Linked DNA regions of Rhinolophus ferrumequinum. Each later gene encodes a partner of the first gene's protein in a complex. Links are inferred from orthologs where the notes say so. Each region holds a gene or a part of one and is shown in the gene's direction. Other genes may lie near its edges.

The links. Proteins that work in one complex are often made in the same cells at the same time.
Region 2: WASHC4 (region 1) and WASHC1 share a complex: the UniProt entries of both Homo sapiens proteins name them as parts of the WASH core complex. The link is inferred for Rhinolophus ferrumequinum from reciprocal best matches to the Homo sapiens genes WASHC4 and WASHC1.

Annotation. Positions count from the first base shown.
Region 1 is NC_046293.1:15,084,674-15,091,568, reverse strand, and holds the start of WASHC4 (WASH complex subunit 4), read left to right. Parts: upstream 1-3,894; 5' UTR 3,895-3,962; coding exon 3,963-4,023; intron 4,024-6,872; coding exon 6,873-6,895. UniProt on the Homo sapiens protein: Acts as a component of the WASH core complex that functions as a nucleation-promoting factor (NPF) at the surface of endosomes, where it recruits and activates the Arp2/3 complex to induce actin polymerization, playing a key role in the fission of tubules that serve as transport intermediates during endosome sorting.
Region 2 is NC_046293.1:88,119,828-88,127,383, reverse strand, and holds the start of WASHC1 (WASH complex subunit 1), read left to right. Parts: upstream 1-4,540; 5' UTR 4,541-4,692; intron 4,693-4,722; exon of another isoform or gene 4,723-4,925; intron 4,926-4,966; exon of another isoform or gene 4,967-5,340; intron 5,341-5,595; exon of another isoform or gene 5,596-5,791; intron 5,792-7,556. UniProt on the Homo sapiens protein: Acts as a component of the WASH core complex that functions as a nucleation-promoting factor (NPF) at the surface of endosomes, where it recruits and activates the Arp2/3 complex to induce actin polymerization, playing a key role in the fission of tubules that serve as transport intermediates during endosome sorting.

The DNA of each region.
Region 1 (6,895 bases):
AAAACATAAAATGAGACTTCATTTTAAGTTATAATACTCCTTTTCAGCAGAACAACACTCATCAAGAATAGTTAGTATATTTCGATAAAACAAATTTAGCACATATCTGAAGGCATCAGAAAGCTTATGCAGCAGTCAAGACTTGATGTATCAAGGTCTTGGAAGGAAAAGAAGCTCACTTGAATTGAATCCAACAATTCAAATGTTGAATTGAATCTAACATTTTGCATTTTGCTCTTCAACTTGGCATTTATCAATGCTTGGTTTGGGGAAAGAAGCTGACCAGGTAGCGAATAAATGCCAAAAGGCAAAGAAACCAGCAGTTTTTCAGGCATCTGATGGGGTTAGAAAGAACAACAATTGGAGTTTGAGTGGCCAGGACTTGAGGAGCCAATATTTTAAAGATAAGGGAGATGTACCTATTTCACGACACCTGTTTTCAGTTTGAGTTATTTGCTGATTCTTATGGAATATGGGATTAAGGCTATAAAACTAAGAAGAAAATGCTGAAAAGCAAAGCAGTTTTCAGTATCAAGAAACTGAATAGTATCAAGAAACACCTGCCAAGAAGAAGGGAGTCCAGTGAACAGCTCAGGCTCTCAACTGCTATTCTAAGAAGACATCACCCTAGGAGAGAGTGTGATCTACAGGTAGAGCACTACTGTAAGACCAGCCCACTACTTGGGATAACAGTATCCTGGTTTTCCTCTGAGGATCTGCTTCTCCCCCTCTCTTAGGCCATGTGGTTCCTATGAAGTTACCTCTCCCTCAACCCCTCCCTGCAGGATCCAGTGGTGAAGCACATGACCTAGACTAAGCCAATCCGTACATCCTTCCCATCCCCTGACTTACAATGATTGGTTCAGCAGTATACACAATGTGTTAGTAATGAGGCGAATCAAGGCCAGCCACTTAATTCTGGGACTTCTGTTTGAGCTATCAGTTGCATGTTCCTTTTTTCTCTTTTGCTAGATCTGGTATGGTGATGAGCCTGAAACTGCCAAGGGCTACCACATAGCAAAAGCTGTGAAGAAACAAAAAGAAAAAGTGAAAATCCAAGAGCTGACATCATTTAAATCCTGAAGTCCAATCCTGAAGTCACATGTGAAGGCCAATCCCACAAAGAGATGTATTAAAATTAACATACAGCAAAATGGCCTTTATTTTTGGTATACAGTTCTGAGTTTTAACAAATGTATAGATCTCTGTAAGGAACCAATCAGGATACAGAACAGTTCTACTCCCCATAGCCCCCACCCCCAAATTCCTTGCCCTATCCCTTTGTAGTCATGTCTACGAACCACCCCTTAATCCTGATAACCACTAAAATGTTCTCTACCACTGTAGTTTTATTTCCTCAAGAAAGTCAAATGAATGTAATCACAGACTGTGTAACTTTTTAGACTGATTTTCTTCATTAAACATAATGCACTTGAGATTTGTGCTAATATTTAGGGAATTCCAGGGATTTTGAGATTCTTCTGTTATTGATTTCTAATACAATTCCATTGTGGTCAGAGAATATAACTATAACATTTCAATCCATTTAAATGTAGTGAGACTTGTTTCGTGGCATAGTATATGGCCTGTCTTACTGAATATTTCTTGTATGCTTGAAAGAATGTCTCTTTTACTGTTGTTGGGTAGAATGTCTTATACATATCAATTCGGACAAGTTGGTTGAGATATCATTCAATCCTATATTCTGTCTACTTGTTATATCAAATACCAAGAGAGAAGTGTTAAAATTTTCAACTGTACTTATAATTTTATCTATTTCTTCTTTCTATTCTGTCAGATTTTGGTTAATAAAACTTTATCACTCATTATCAAAAAATGCCAATTCGGTGACTCTCTGTGATATTCTTAAGAAAATTATTGTGGTTTTAATTTAGAAAGAAGTAAGTTTGCTTGGACTCAAACCTTGTAGAGTACAGCAGCTTATTTTTCTGCTTAGTTCTTCATTTAGACAAAGATTTGGCCAGTGTTTTTGCTCAGATTTTGGAGTTCACTCCCTTTGTAGTTCCCTTGATTATCAGTTTTTCCTTCTAAATTTCAAGCTGCTCTGTGAGCCCAACCTCTGTTCTCCGCTATCTTAAACCCACAGGGTGTTAGCTTTTGCTACCTGATGTGCACATCTGTTGGAGAATATGTGCATCAAAGGGCAGCAAACACACCTCTCAACAGTTGTTTTTCAAGGACTCCTGACTGCTATTTCAGCAGACCCTCTTTCATGTAGTTTAGTGGTCAGCCAGGAATCAGGGCAGGGTTTATATTCGGAATTTAGATTTCATCCCTTCTGTGTGTCCCTTGCTTCAGGATTCCCCCCTACCCCCCAAATTTCTGGCATCTCTTCCAACAACCCTGAACTTAATTTTGCTCCACCTCGAGCCAGTAAAACTGCAGTGTTGCAATCCTGTATTTGAAGCGATGAAAGACACTGTCAGGCAAAAAGCCATAAACATAATTATTACCAGTTGCTGAATAAATTTTCCTGTGGTTTCTGCCTGCTTTTATTCTCTTTCAGATCTTTAAAAAGTTATTTTTATCTACTTTATTAACTGCAAACCAGTCTATTTGAGTACTTTAGGTTGCCTCCTTGCCTCCAGGACCTAGAGGTGTCCTGTCAATTACTTTGATGTATTAATTATAAGACTTTTCTAAGATCATTATGCTTTTTAAATTAGGTTATTTCAACCCACTCTGTAGACTACAGCTTATATAGAAAGACTTTTTTTTTTCTTATTTTGCTCTTCTGAAGTTAAAGTAAGGGCTGGCAAACTTTCTCTTAAGGGCCTGATAGTAAATATTTTAGCCTCCTGGGCAATATGGTCACTGTAGGGACTACTCCACTCTGCCATTGTGTTATGAAGCAGCCATAGACAATATGCAAATACATGGGCATGATTGTGTTCCATTAAATCTTTATTTACAAAAGCAGGTGGCAGATCTATCAACTGTACTTTGTTGATCCCTGAGTTAAAATATCTTACTAATTTCCCTTACCAGACAACCGAACTCTTTGAAGGGTTTTAGTCCCTGTGGTAATATTAACCAGAGGAGGTCTTGATTAAATACTGGTTGAAGACATTAACAGTTTTCGCATGCCTCTATAAATCTATTTCATTTCGTTTGACAGATATCTAGTATTTCATAGTGTGGATTATTAAACTTTACGTAATTATTCCCTGTTGATGGACATTTGTATCTTGTCCTATTAGTATCTGTTAAAAACCATGCAGCAATGAACATTAGTGTAAGTAGCGTTACTGGGTAACACAGATTCTTATTTTCGGAAAAGCCAGGTAGCAGGTAGACATTTAAAAACACACTTAGACAGCGCTTTCCCCCTCCCCCCACCTTTGAGAGCAGGGGGAGGAGAGCGTGCAAGTATCACATAAGTAGAGTAGTAAAATTCCTCGCTATGGTTTGTTGTTTGTAAAGTCACTATTCCTCGCAGTTCTTTGTTTTTTTCAAGAACGATCCGCACAAGACGTGCAGGAAGAAAGCAGCTCTCGGATGGTGATGACAGGTAGAGCGTTGAAAATGCTGGCTTCTTGGAAGAATCGCCTGGACAGCGACTTCCTCGAGGATCGGACCACGCCTTCCTGTTAAGCCCCCACCTCATCAATTTTGCCCTTTTTAGGCTCGACTGAGGGAGCAACTCCCAGGTATTAAAAGTAGCTTGGAGACAGCAGGGCGAAATTGAGGGTATAGGTGTGGCATCAGAAGAGAGCAGTGGCGAAGCCCAAGTAGAAACGGGAGGACACCGTGAGGACCGCCGCCTCAACTGCAGCTCCCTTCGGCCACCGGGTAGGACTCGCTTTCCCAGCGGCCCCCGCGCCCCTCGCGCACGGGGGTGGTGCCAGAGCCGGAAATCACGTGTTTTGACAGCCGCTGGGGTGAGGCCGCCGTAGTCCACCAGGCTGGCTGGAGCTGTGACTGAGGGAGGCGTCGTAGTGATGGCGGTGGAGACTCTGTCCCCGGACTGGGAATTCGACCGCGTCGACGACGGCTCACAGAGTAAGGGAGCAGCAGGGATAGGGCTGCGGGTGGGAGCTTCCGCTCCGGCCTCAGCCTTGGCGGCGTTTCTGCGGGAGGGCTTGCGTCGCGGTCGCTGCGCAGCCGTCGGGTTCGGGGCACTTTCTGCCCATTGAGAGGGACGCGTTCTCAAGCGCGTTACTTTTGGGGATAAGGGTCCCAGCAATGGCGGGTCAGGCTGGCGCGATGAGGGCTCGGCATTCGGGGCGGTGACTCTCCAGAGGAGCCCGCGGTGCCCCTGGGGGAGCGGCGTCCACTTTCTGCAGCCGGGGGACGCGGGCGGGGCGTGTCCAGGGAGGCCCAGCAGCCCCGGGAGCGGAGGCTGGTCCTGTCTTTGGACTCTCGGGGCTTTCGCCAGATCATCAGAGCGTTCAGTTCTAGCAGAGGCTGAGGTCCGGGTTCCTGTTTCGGTTTCCTGTTTTTCTTTTTTCCCTCCCCAGTCAACTTTTGGAAGTTTGAGTGGTTTTTCCTTCACATTCTTACAACCGTTGAAGATAGCGAAAAGGAACTCTTCTCATGGTGAAATTAACACGTGATTGCTAATTTATCTCCTTCCATGTCTTTTATTTACGTTAAATGAAAGTGATGTCCTGTACTTTCCATTGTCGCTAGAAAGGTTTCAAAAATTACAGCAAATCTGCCTCACGTTTTGCTTCATAAAATCGAGTTGTCTGACTTTAACTTAGAATCCAGTGACAGGAAACTGACCAATTTAGTTCCACGTAGCAAAATTTAGAGGCCAAACTAATTATTGTAGTGAAACTCTTAAGATTAACACAAGTTGGCAGTCTGTTTTTTTGGTGCTATTAATCTGTTTAAGTGATATTGGAGATACTGGGACATACTGCTTGTGAATTTGTTTTTAATACAAGTTTTCCAAAAGGTGAATGTAATTTTAAAAAATTACCTATGAATTTTGCTTGATTTTATAAAGAAAGAGTGGTGTACAAACTTAGGTGTAATTAGGTTTTAGTCTTTCAAAGAAGCGTGAGTAAATTAAGGGATGGTTTGCAGTTTTTCACTCTATAAGGTATTAGCTCTTTTGCAGCCTTAGAAAACAATCTTGGTGGTGATAACAAAATTCTCTAACTTTTTTTGTGGAGAGGATTCTGTATTTACTGTTACAAAGTGAACTGCACCTTATCATGTATGAAGGTCTATGGACAAAGGTCCCCAACTCTGCCTTTGGAGTAAAGAATGAATTCTTATGTGTAAAATAGAATATTTACTTTCATCTTCAAAAAATTGTGATAAAAACATCTTATTGGGTTTAAAAATGGTTCACCTTAGAGTACAGTGATCTGATTCACTCAGCAGACGTTTTCTGTATACCAGTTGCTATGCTAGGTATTAGGGATACAAAGATAAAACAAAGAATGTAGTCTGTTGGAAGAGATAAGCATGTAAATTGGTTTTTGGAATTTCACTCTTGAATAATCACCACATAGTTTTTTACTTCAAATTTTTTTATTTTAACTTTTACTAATTTTACAACTATTTCTTATCAGCAAGGAACTTGAATGTTATTACAGGTTTTCTGTTGCCTGATACTTTGTGAATTCCCAGACTAAATAAGTAATTTATTGGCATGTTTTTCTAGTATTGTCATTAAGAACTTATTTGTTGAATAAATACAACTAAGGTCATTTTCCATGTAACTGAGAATTAAATGTGTACTTGGGATTTTGAGAATCTTACACGGTTTTTATTTTAAGCTATAGGGAAGAGCTCATCTCATCTCTTCTCTGTGCCTGATTTTCATTAATTTTTGGACTATGAATCATATCTAGACTAATTGTTTTTCAGAATTGCCTAGATTAATGAGAACCTTAATGAACTAAATGGATCCACCTGATTCAAGTGCATTAGTTGCAAAATAAGGGAGAATGGGGAGCTAGATCTTTATTTTATCCTTAACGTATCAGAAGATACTTTATCTTAGAGTTGCTTCTCATTGCTAATTTGAGGAGAGACAATTGTACCTTTTTTAGAAGACAGGGATTGGATAAAGTTAATAAAAGAAACTGAGTCGGAGTTGAATTTGCTGCTTTTGTAATAAATGAATTCTTATGTATGAGGTGGAATACGTATTTACTTTCATTAATATTGACCAATAGGCATAGCTTTATTGTTAAGTTTATTCCAATGCCTCTTTGGAGTCATCTATTAATGTGTAAATTCTGTAAATATCACCACATTATTCTGTACTTAGTGTTCTTTACTGGCTTTTCCAACTCTATTATGATAGTTAAATAATGAAAGCAAATCTTGGTAAATTTGGGGGCATTGCAATAATAATCATTATGATGAAGCAGGTCTAAATGCATTTTAAAAACATTTATATAGGTGTATTTTTAAACAGGTGCATAGAATTAAGAATTATGTTTTTAAATTTTGCTTGTATGACAACACAGATTTTTACACTTAATTCAGGTCATGAATTTATTTTATTTTTTGCAAAAATGTTGTTTAAGCCTAAAACATAAAATTAAGACATTGCATAGTCTAAGGAATTATTCAGATTGTTTAAAAGCCCTGGATTATAGGGTAAATGGTAATGACTTTTTCATACTACTTTAAAATTAGTTTTAAGGTGATATATATCTCTCTGTATATGGCAACATCTGCTTTTAATATTATTTTATCTGGAAAATATTGAAAGCTGAATTACCGTTTAACTTTGAATCTTTATTTTCAAGAAGTCCAGACATTCCAGAGTAATACATTTAGTAATGCTTAGTATCTACTTCGCTGTGACTTTTGAGATTATATAAAGTAAATGTCGTGTCATTTTTGTACTTCTCACATGTTGTTTTAAAATTTAAATTTAGAAATTCATGCTGAAGTTCAACTT
Region 2 (7,556 bases), about 73 Mb from region 1:
TTTGTCTCATTGCCTACTCCACACCCAACTGTGCATTTTCTCACCTCCTGATCATTATAGCAGAAACTGGCTAGCTCTTCCTCCTGGGAATAGAAATTGACTGTACTTCCCAGTCTCCCCTGCAGTTGGATGTGGCCATTTGAACCAGCTCCAGCCAATGGAATGTAAACAGGAGTTGCATGCTCCTTCCAGGCCTGTTCCATCAAACCTCCCACAAGGCTCTTCATGCTCTTTCCCCTTCCAATCTGGGAAGCCCCGTGTTGAAGATGGTAGAGTCTTAGATGGAAAGTACCTGGGTCCCTGGATTAAAATGTGAAGGAGAGCCATCCACTGTTTCAGACGTTCCATTAGTCAGAAATGAGCTTCCATTACATTTAAGCCATTATAAAGTTTTTATTTAAAGTTTTCAGTTTGTTGCAGCAGCTAACCTTACCTAAATTAGTACACTCCTGCTGTCTGATGTCCCTGGAATGCCTATAACTCCACCCTGCTTCACCGAGGTAACTCCTACTTATTCTTTAAGCTTCGTGTCTGGCATCATGTTCTCCAGGAAACCTTCTCCGAGCAACCCCCGAAGTCACAAGGAAGGATTAGGTGTATCTAGCAGACACTGCACAGCTGACTACCCTCTGTCTATTCTCCCCTTCCTCCTAATGAAATTCCAATTTTGTTCAGGGGATTTCAATACCCATTTCACAAGACTCCCTTGCAGCTAGCAGCAGTCATGTGATCCAGTCCCTGCCAATAAATTGTAAGAGGAAGTTGCTGGAGGGAGAGTCTTAGAGAAGCTTTAAAAAAAAAGGAAAAGATTGGCCTCCTACATGCCTTTTGCCTTTTTTCTTTGTGCTTCCTTTCTTCCCACCTGGAAGTCAGCTGCAATGCCCCGGAATGGAGCATACGTATTACAACCATAAGGATGCCTGCCATGTGCTAAGGCAGAGTAGAAAGAAGATTCCAGGTTCCGCAAGGCACCATGGAGCCACGAAATCAGCCCCGTTCTGTCTACTGCTGGTTCTCTTCCAATGTGGAAAACAGCATCTCCTAATGCGTAAGCCCTGTCGTGAGGTTTTTGTTTGCACTACCGAGAGCAGTCTGAACTGAATGCACGCCTTGCTCCGTGCTTCGGAGCAAGCCCTCCACTGCTTCCATCAAAATGCAATCACACCTGGCAAGCATCAGCTTAAGTGTCCGTTTCCCTGACTTGTTTGAAGGCACAGAGCAAGCACTCCACCAATGTGGGCTGAAAGAATGGTGACAAAGGAGACTGTTGCGTCTTCGTCATCTTCATTCTGGGGAAAGGAAAAGGTATCCTCGGAGGATACAGAGAAAAGGCCCTCAGTCTATCTGTGCTGCCACCATGCTCCTGTGTCCATGAGTGGAGCGTCACTCTACGGCCTCTGAGGTCTCTTCAGACTCTTGCGTTCTCTGATGTACCTCACATCCAGTACACGCTCCACACCGAGGAGGGTAGAAAGGGTAAGACACCGGCTTGGCCTCATATGGATACAGCATTTCCTGCTCCTAGCATCTTTTTGTTATTGTTGTTTGTTTGTTTGAAGTGAGGTGAAAGTCATATAAAGCAAACTTATATGACTGTCATGAAAGTTTGAAAGTGAACCGTTCAGTGGCATTCAGCACCTTCACAATGTTGTGCAACCACCACTTCTATGTAGTTCCAAACATTTTTATCACCCCAAAATAAAAACTTGCACCCATTAAGTAGCCATTTCCCGTTCTCCTCTCCCCTCAGATCCTGGAAACCACCAATCTATGCTCTGTCTCCCAGGATTTACATATTCTGGATATTTCATATACATAGAATAACACAATGGGCCAACAAAGGCAGGTAGGGCCATAGGGTCCACACATTAGGCTGACATTCAGCTTTTCTTTTCCAGGGCGAGGTCAAGGATTCCCATTGCAGCTTGAGTGGCTGAGGTCAAATGTCTTTGCAATCCAGCTCCTTGGAAGTTTTTAAAATTAGGTCTGGGATGAGTCTACAAATAGTAGATTTGGCAGAGAACTTTTATGTAGTGAAAGGTGAACTGTATGGAGGTGACCTGGCTGGCCTGGGCCATGGGGCACTGTCTAGCTGCACTTTTGTGAGAAAACACAGCTAGGTTTCCTGTCACGTGGTGTGTGTTTGTGTGTCTATGTATAGACAGACATCCCAGAGCACGTCCAAATTTCCTTTTGTCCTTGAATAAACTTTACAGATCACGAAGAACTTCTGACATCCAATGACAGCTCTCAAAAGGAGGCAGGGCAAGCACTTTTAACCCCAGTTTATAAACGGGGCAATCAAGGCCCAAGGTCATACAAGGAATGAGTGGCGAGGCCCCGATCCTGGGTGCTGTCCTCTGCACACAGCACATTTCCCCTCCTTTGATGTAACCTGGATACCTTAAGTTACTCGGTCATTGCTCAGGAGGAGTGAGGGGGAAATGCGTTAGCAGGTTGTATTCGTTAAAAACAAAATACCATAGCCTGAATGGCTTACACAACGTGAATAATTATTTCTCATAGTTCTGAAGGCTGGGAAGTCCAAGCTCAAGGTGCCAGCTAATTTGGTTCCTGAGAACTCTCTTCCTGGCTTGCAGATGGCCACCTTCTCTCTGTGTCCTCACACGGTGAAGAGAAAGAAAAGAGCAAACTCTCCGGTGTCTCTTCTTATAAGGGCACTAATTCCATCATGAGGGCCCCACCTTCATGATGGCCCCAGTTACCTCCCCAAAGGAGGTAATTACCTCCCCAAAGGCCCCAGATCCAAATACCACCACATTGGGGGGTAGGGCTTCAACATATGAATTTGGGGGGACACAAGTATTCAGTCCATAATATAGGTGGACTCCACAGCTGGTGGTGACCATGTACTACAGCTGGTGAGACGGTGGAATGTTCTTGTCAAAAGACAATTCAACCTAACTCTCTTGGAAGGAGGGGCAGGGAAGGAGGACAAAACTTGGAGAGTGTTAGGAAGAAAGTAGAATTGCCAAATTTAGGAAATAAAAATATCAAATACTTATTTGATTTTGAATTTCAAGTAAGCAACAAATAATTTTTTAGCATGTCTCATGCTTAGTTTGGGATATAATTACACTAAATACACACACACACACACACACACACACATATATTAGTTTTTTTTTATCGGAAATTCAAATTAACTTGGTGTCCTATATTTTCCTCAGGCAACTCTAAAAGAGACAGACCAAGAACTCTAAGACAAGCCCCAATGGACTCCAGGAGGGACAATTGTGAGATCTCTGGACTAACACTTCCACTATATATTTAACCTTTTTAAAAATCTTTTTTAAAAAAACTGTTAGGTTGGTGCAAAAGTCATTGCGGTTTAAAAGGTTAAATAGAATTGCAAAAACTGCAATTACTTTTGCACCAATCTAATAGTTTGTTTTTTGTATGTGATAACAAAAAATTTGCCATTTTAACCATTTTTAAGTGTACAGTTCTGTGGCATTAAATACATTCACATTGTTGTGCAACCATCACCACTACCAACCTCTAGAACTTTTTCATCATCCCAAACAGGCACGTCAAAGAAAACCAGATCTGGACAGTAGTTAAAGCAGTGAAAGCAGATTTTATCTAGGACTTTGCAACAGGGGAAAAGAGACCTCAGCACAGAACTGGGGTCAATTCCGAACATAGCATGGACAAGTGGGGATTTACAGCCAAGGAGCTGGGAGTGGTGGTCCTGGATGGAAAATTACTAATGGTGGGGTAATTCTTTGCTAAACTCACCTGACAGGATTCTTGCTGAAAGCAGGCCAGGGCGACTAGCTATCACCTGGGGTATGTTGGAGCATGAGGAATTTGGTCTGATATTTGATCAGTACGGAGGGTGATCTGATTAATACAGAGAGTGGGGGATTCTGTCTAAACCCACTTAACAGGATTCTCGCTAAAATTCGGAAACGTCAGTAGAGGCCTAGTTGGGAAGAGAATTCAGTGAAGCCTGACTACAGTTTGGTCAGAGGCTTTGTCAGAAACTGTACCCTTTAAACAATAACTCCCCCATCCCAAATTGCTTCCCCACCCCTGGCAACCACCATTCTACTTTCTGCCTCAATGGATTTGACTACTCTAGCTGTCTTATATAAGTGGAATCTAATACAGTCTTTTTCCTTTTGTGTCTGGCTTATATAATTAATTTTTAAAGGGGTGGCGGTGAGGGTGGTGGCGGAAACTTAGTGAATTCTATGGGGAAAACGGCCCACATTAGTCAAGACGAGAAAATAAAGGCGCGCTAAAAGACGTATTACATGTTAAGTGCGTAGGCTGGAGGGCGCGGGCTGTTTGCAGGCCTGTGCTGGGGTCGTGCAGGGGGTACACACGGGGAAAGGCTAGGGCGTCTCTGAGCCTCGGGCGGCAGAAAACCCAGGTGAGGCCAGAGGGGTGGGCAGTGAGGGGCAGCGACGGGGGCGCGGGCCGGCGGTTAGGTGTTGGGACTACAAGAGGCAAGCGCCCGGCGGTTGGAGGGAGGCTCCGAGTGCGATTCCACGCAGGGGTCGGGGACTGACCGCGCTCGGGGCCCGAACTCGGGGAGCCAGCGAGCGAACCAGAAGCCGCGCGCAGAGCGGCGGCGGCGCCAGGACCCGACAGCGCCGGCGGAGCGGAAGCGCGGCGGGCGGAGCGGGCGGAACGGATGGAGCGGCGCGGCGCGGAGCGCAGGTGACGAGGGGCTGGGCGGCCGGGGAGGGTGCAGGCCTCCCTGGTCGCACGCCGAGGGGACTGGGGGGAGCAGCTCCGGGGCGCGTTGGGCGCAGACCCGGGCCCGCGCGGGGCCGGGCGCGAGCGAGCAGCGGCGAGAGGCGGGTGGGACTGCAGACCCTGCGCCCGGGCTGACTTCCGACTCCGCCGCTGGACTCGCCAGCCTGGAAGCGGCGCGGGGCCTCCGCCCAGCAGTAAGGCGGATTTCCACCCCTGTTGGTCCCGGGCTCTCCGGCCCGGGCGCCTGAGCCTTGCCCTGGCCCTCTTCCCCGGAGTGAGGCCGAGGCCTGGCCGGAGGAGGGCCCTGCTGCGAAGCGGCCCCGCGCCGAAGGCCGCAGCCCTCCGCTTCCTCTCGGCCCGGCCCCGTGACCCTCACGTGCCTCTCCACCCTCGGGGCCGGGCTCTAGGATGCGGACGGAAGCCTCAGACCTCTTGCAGCTCCCGTCCCTCACTGAGGCCGGTTAATGCCTCTGCCTCCTTCGCCCCTCTTATGCGACCCCACCCTGATCACCTACAGCAGACGTTTTGGACCTGGGAGCTGGGTGTTCGGGGGTTTGCAGGAAGGATTTCATGCACTTCCGAAATTATAAACAGCATTATGAGAGAGAGGTATGGTGTGGGTTCAGTTTTTTGAAAGCGTCCATAGTTTTTACCAGATTCTCAAAGGTAGCGGTGTTCATTAGAAATATGTGAGCCACACACGTGATTTAAAAAAAAATAAACAAATGAAATTAGTTTAGTAATATTTTTTATTTAACTCAGGATAGGCAAAGTATGATGACTTTAGCACGTAATCAACATACAGTAGCCCTCCCCATCCCCCCCATCCGCGATTTCGCTGTTTGCAGTCTCAGTTACTTGGGGTCAACCACAGTTTGAAAATGGAAAATTCCAGAAAGAAACATTTCATAAGTTGTAAGTTGCACGCCTTCTGAGTGTGTGATGAAATCTTGCAGGTGTCCCACTCAGTCCTGCTCTGCCCTCCCTGGGTTGTGAATCATCCCTTTGACCAGTGTAACCATTCTGTAGACCTGACTAGGTTATCAGATCAACTTTCCAGGTATTGCTGTGCTTGTGTTCCGATAACCCTTTTGGCCTTTATTTTGCCAAAGCCATTCACATTACTGTTATTACAGTATCTTGTTATAATTGCTCTTTTATAATTGTTGTTAATGTCTTCCTGTGCCTAATTTATAAATTAAACTTTCTCATAGGTATGTGTGTATAGGAAAAATTTTACATAGTGTATATAGGGTCCAGTACTTTCTGCAGTTTCAGGCATCCACCGGGGGTTCTGGAACGGACCCCTGCAAATCAGGGAGAACTGTAAAAAAAATTTTGTTTTGTAAGGAGGGCACAGCTCACGGTGCCCATGCAGGGATCGAATTGGCAACCTTGGTGTTTTCAGCACCACTCTCTAACCAACTGAGCTAAATGGCCACCCAGGACTGTAAAAATTTTTAATAAGTTATCTTAAATTATTTTTTCCTACTAAATCTGAAATTCGGTGTATATTTTACACTTATGCCACATCTCAATTCAGACTGGCCACAGTTCAAGTGCTCAATAGCCGCGTGTAGCTAGTGGCCACCACACTGGACAATGCAGGCCTGAGGATTTCAGTCCAAACTCTTTGCTGTGGTATTCAGTGCTTTTTACAGTCTGGCCTCTCTTTATCTTTCTTTTTCCTGCTACTTGCCCAAGGATGGTTATACCCTCACCTCTCAGGACCACTTGCCATTCCCCTATACACCTTTGTTCAAGCTGTTCCTTCTACCTGGAATGCTTTCCCTGGGACTGTTAGGGAGGTACAGCGTCTGCTAAGAGGCTTTTCCGGACTCCCTTAACCCCAGAAGAGGTTCATCACTCCTTCCTCAGTGTTCCCCTAGTACTGTATTCACGGCTGGATTAGAACACATCACATGCTGTTTAATTGTTCTTGAGGCTATTCCCATGGCCAGTAGAGTGCCCTGTTCATCTCTGTTGTGATCATGGCAGGCACCTAATAGTTGATAAGTAGATGTTTGCAGACAGAACGAGTAAACCGCCAACCAGCTGTACTCAGTCTCTTAATTCCTGAATGGACCCAGGACTTCCTTGTTCAGGAGATTGGTGCCTGAATCACTCCCTCGTGTGTGTGTACACACACAGATATGGTGACTAGCCATGACGAATGCATTTCAAGATGTGCACAGGAAAGTGTCTTCTACCTGTGGTCCCCTCCCCATCTTACAGATGGGAAAGCTGAAGCTCGGGACTAAATTAGGGTGGCCAGCAAATTTGCATCAATATGAATACCAAGAAGTGGAGGGATTCTCCTTGAAAGGAGTTGGGGGGGTGTCTCAGGATTAGATTCCTCAGACAGTTAGGGATCAGCTAGCACCACTCTTGGTCGTTTGATAGGAGGCAAGAGAAGTGAGGAGTAGTGCTGGGCCCTGTTGAGGATTCAAGGGAGGTTCAGGTCTGAGAAGCCGAGGACATGACTGTTGGGAAACAAGCTGGGGAGCAGAACAGTCATCTCGGCTAATGAAAGTGCTGGCCTGGGAAGGGCAGGAGAGAACAAGTAGGGCGGACGGAAGGGCCAGGGGAACCAGCAGAGGGAGCGGAGAAGCAAGCACCTACTTGGTGAAGATGTGGTGCGATATATTGGGAAAACCCCTTAGAGAGCAGTGCCATTCTCTGTAGAATGGGAAATAGCATCAGATATTCAGAGCAGGCAAGCGACTTACCCGAGGTCACATAGCACTTTAAGCCCAAATGAAGCCCCCTAAGCCCTCCCTGCCATACTCACCGAGCCCCACCCACACCGCTGTTGCAACCAGGGG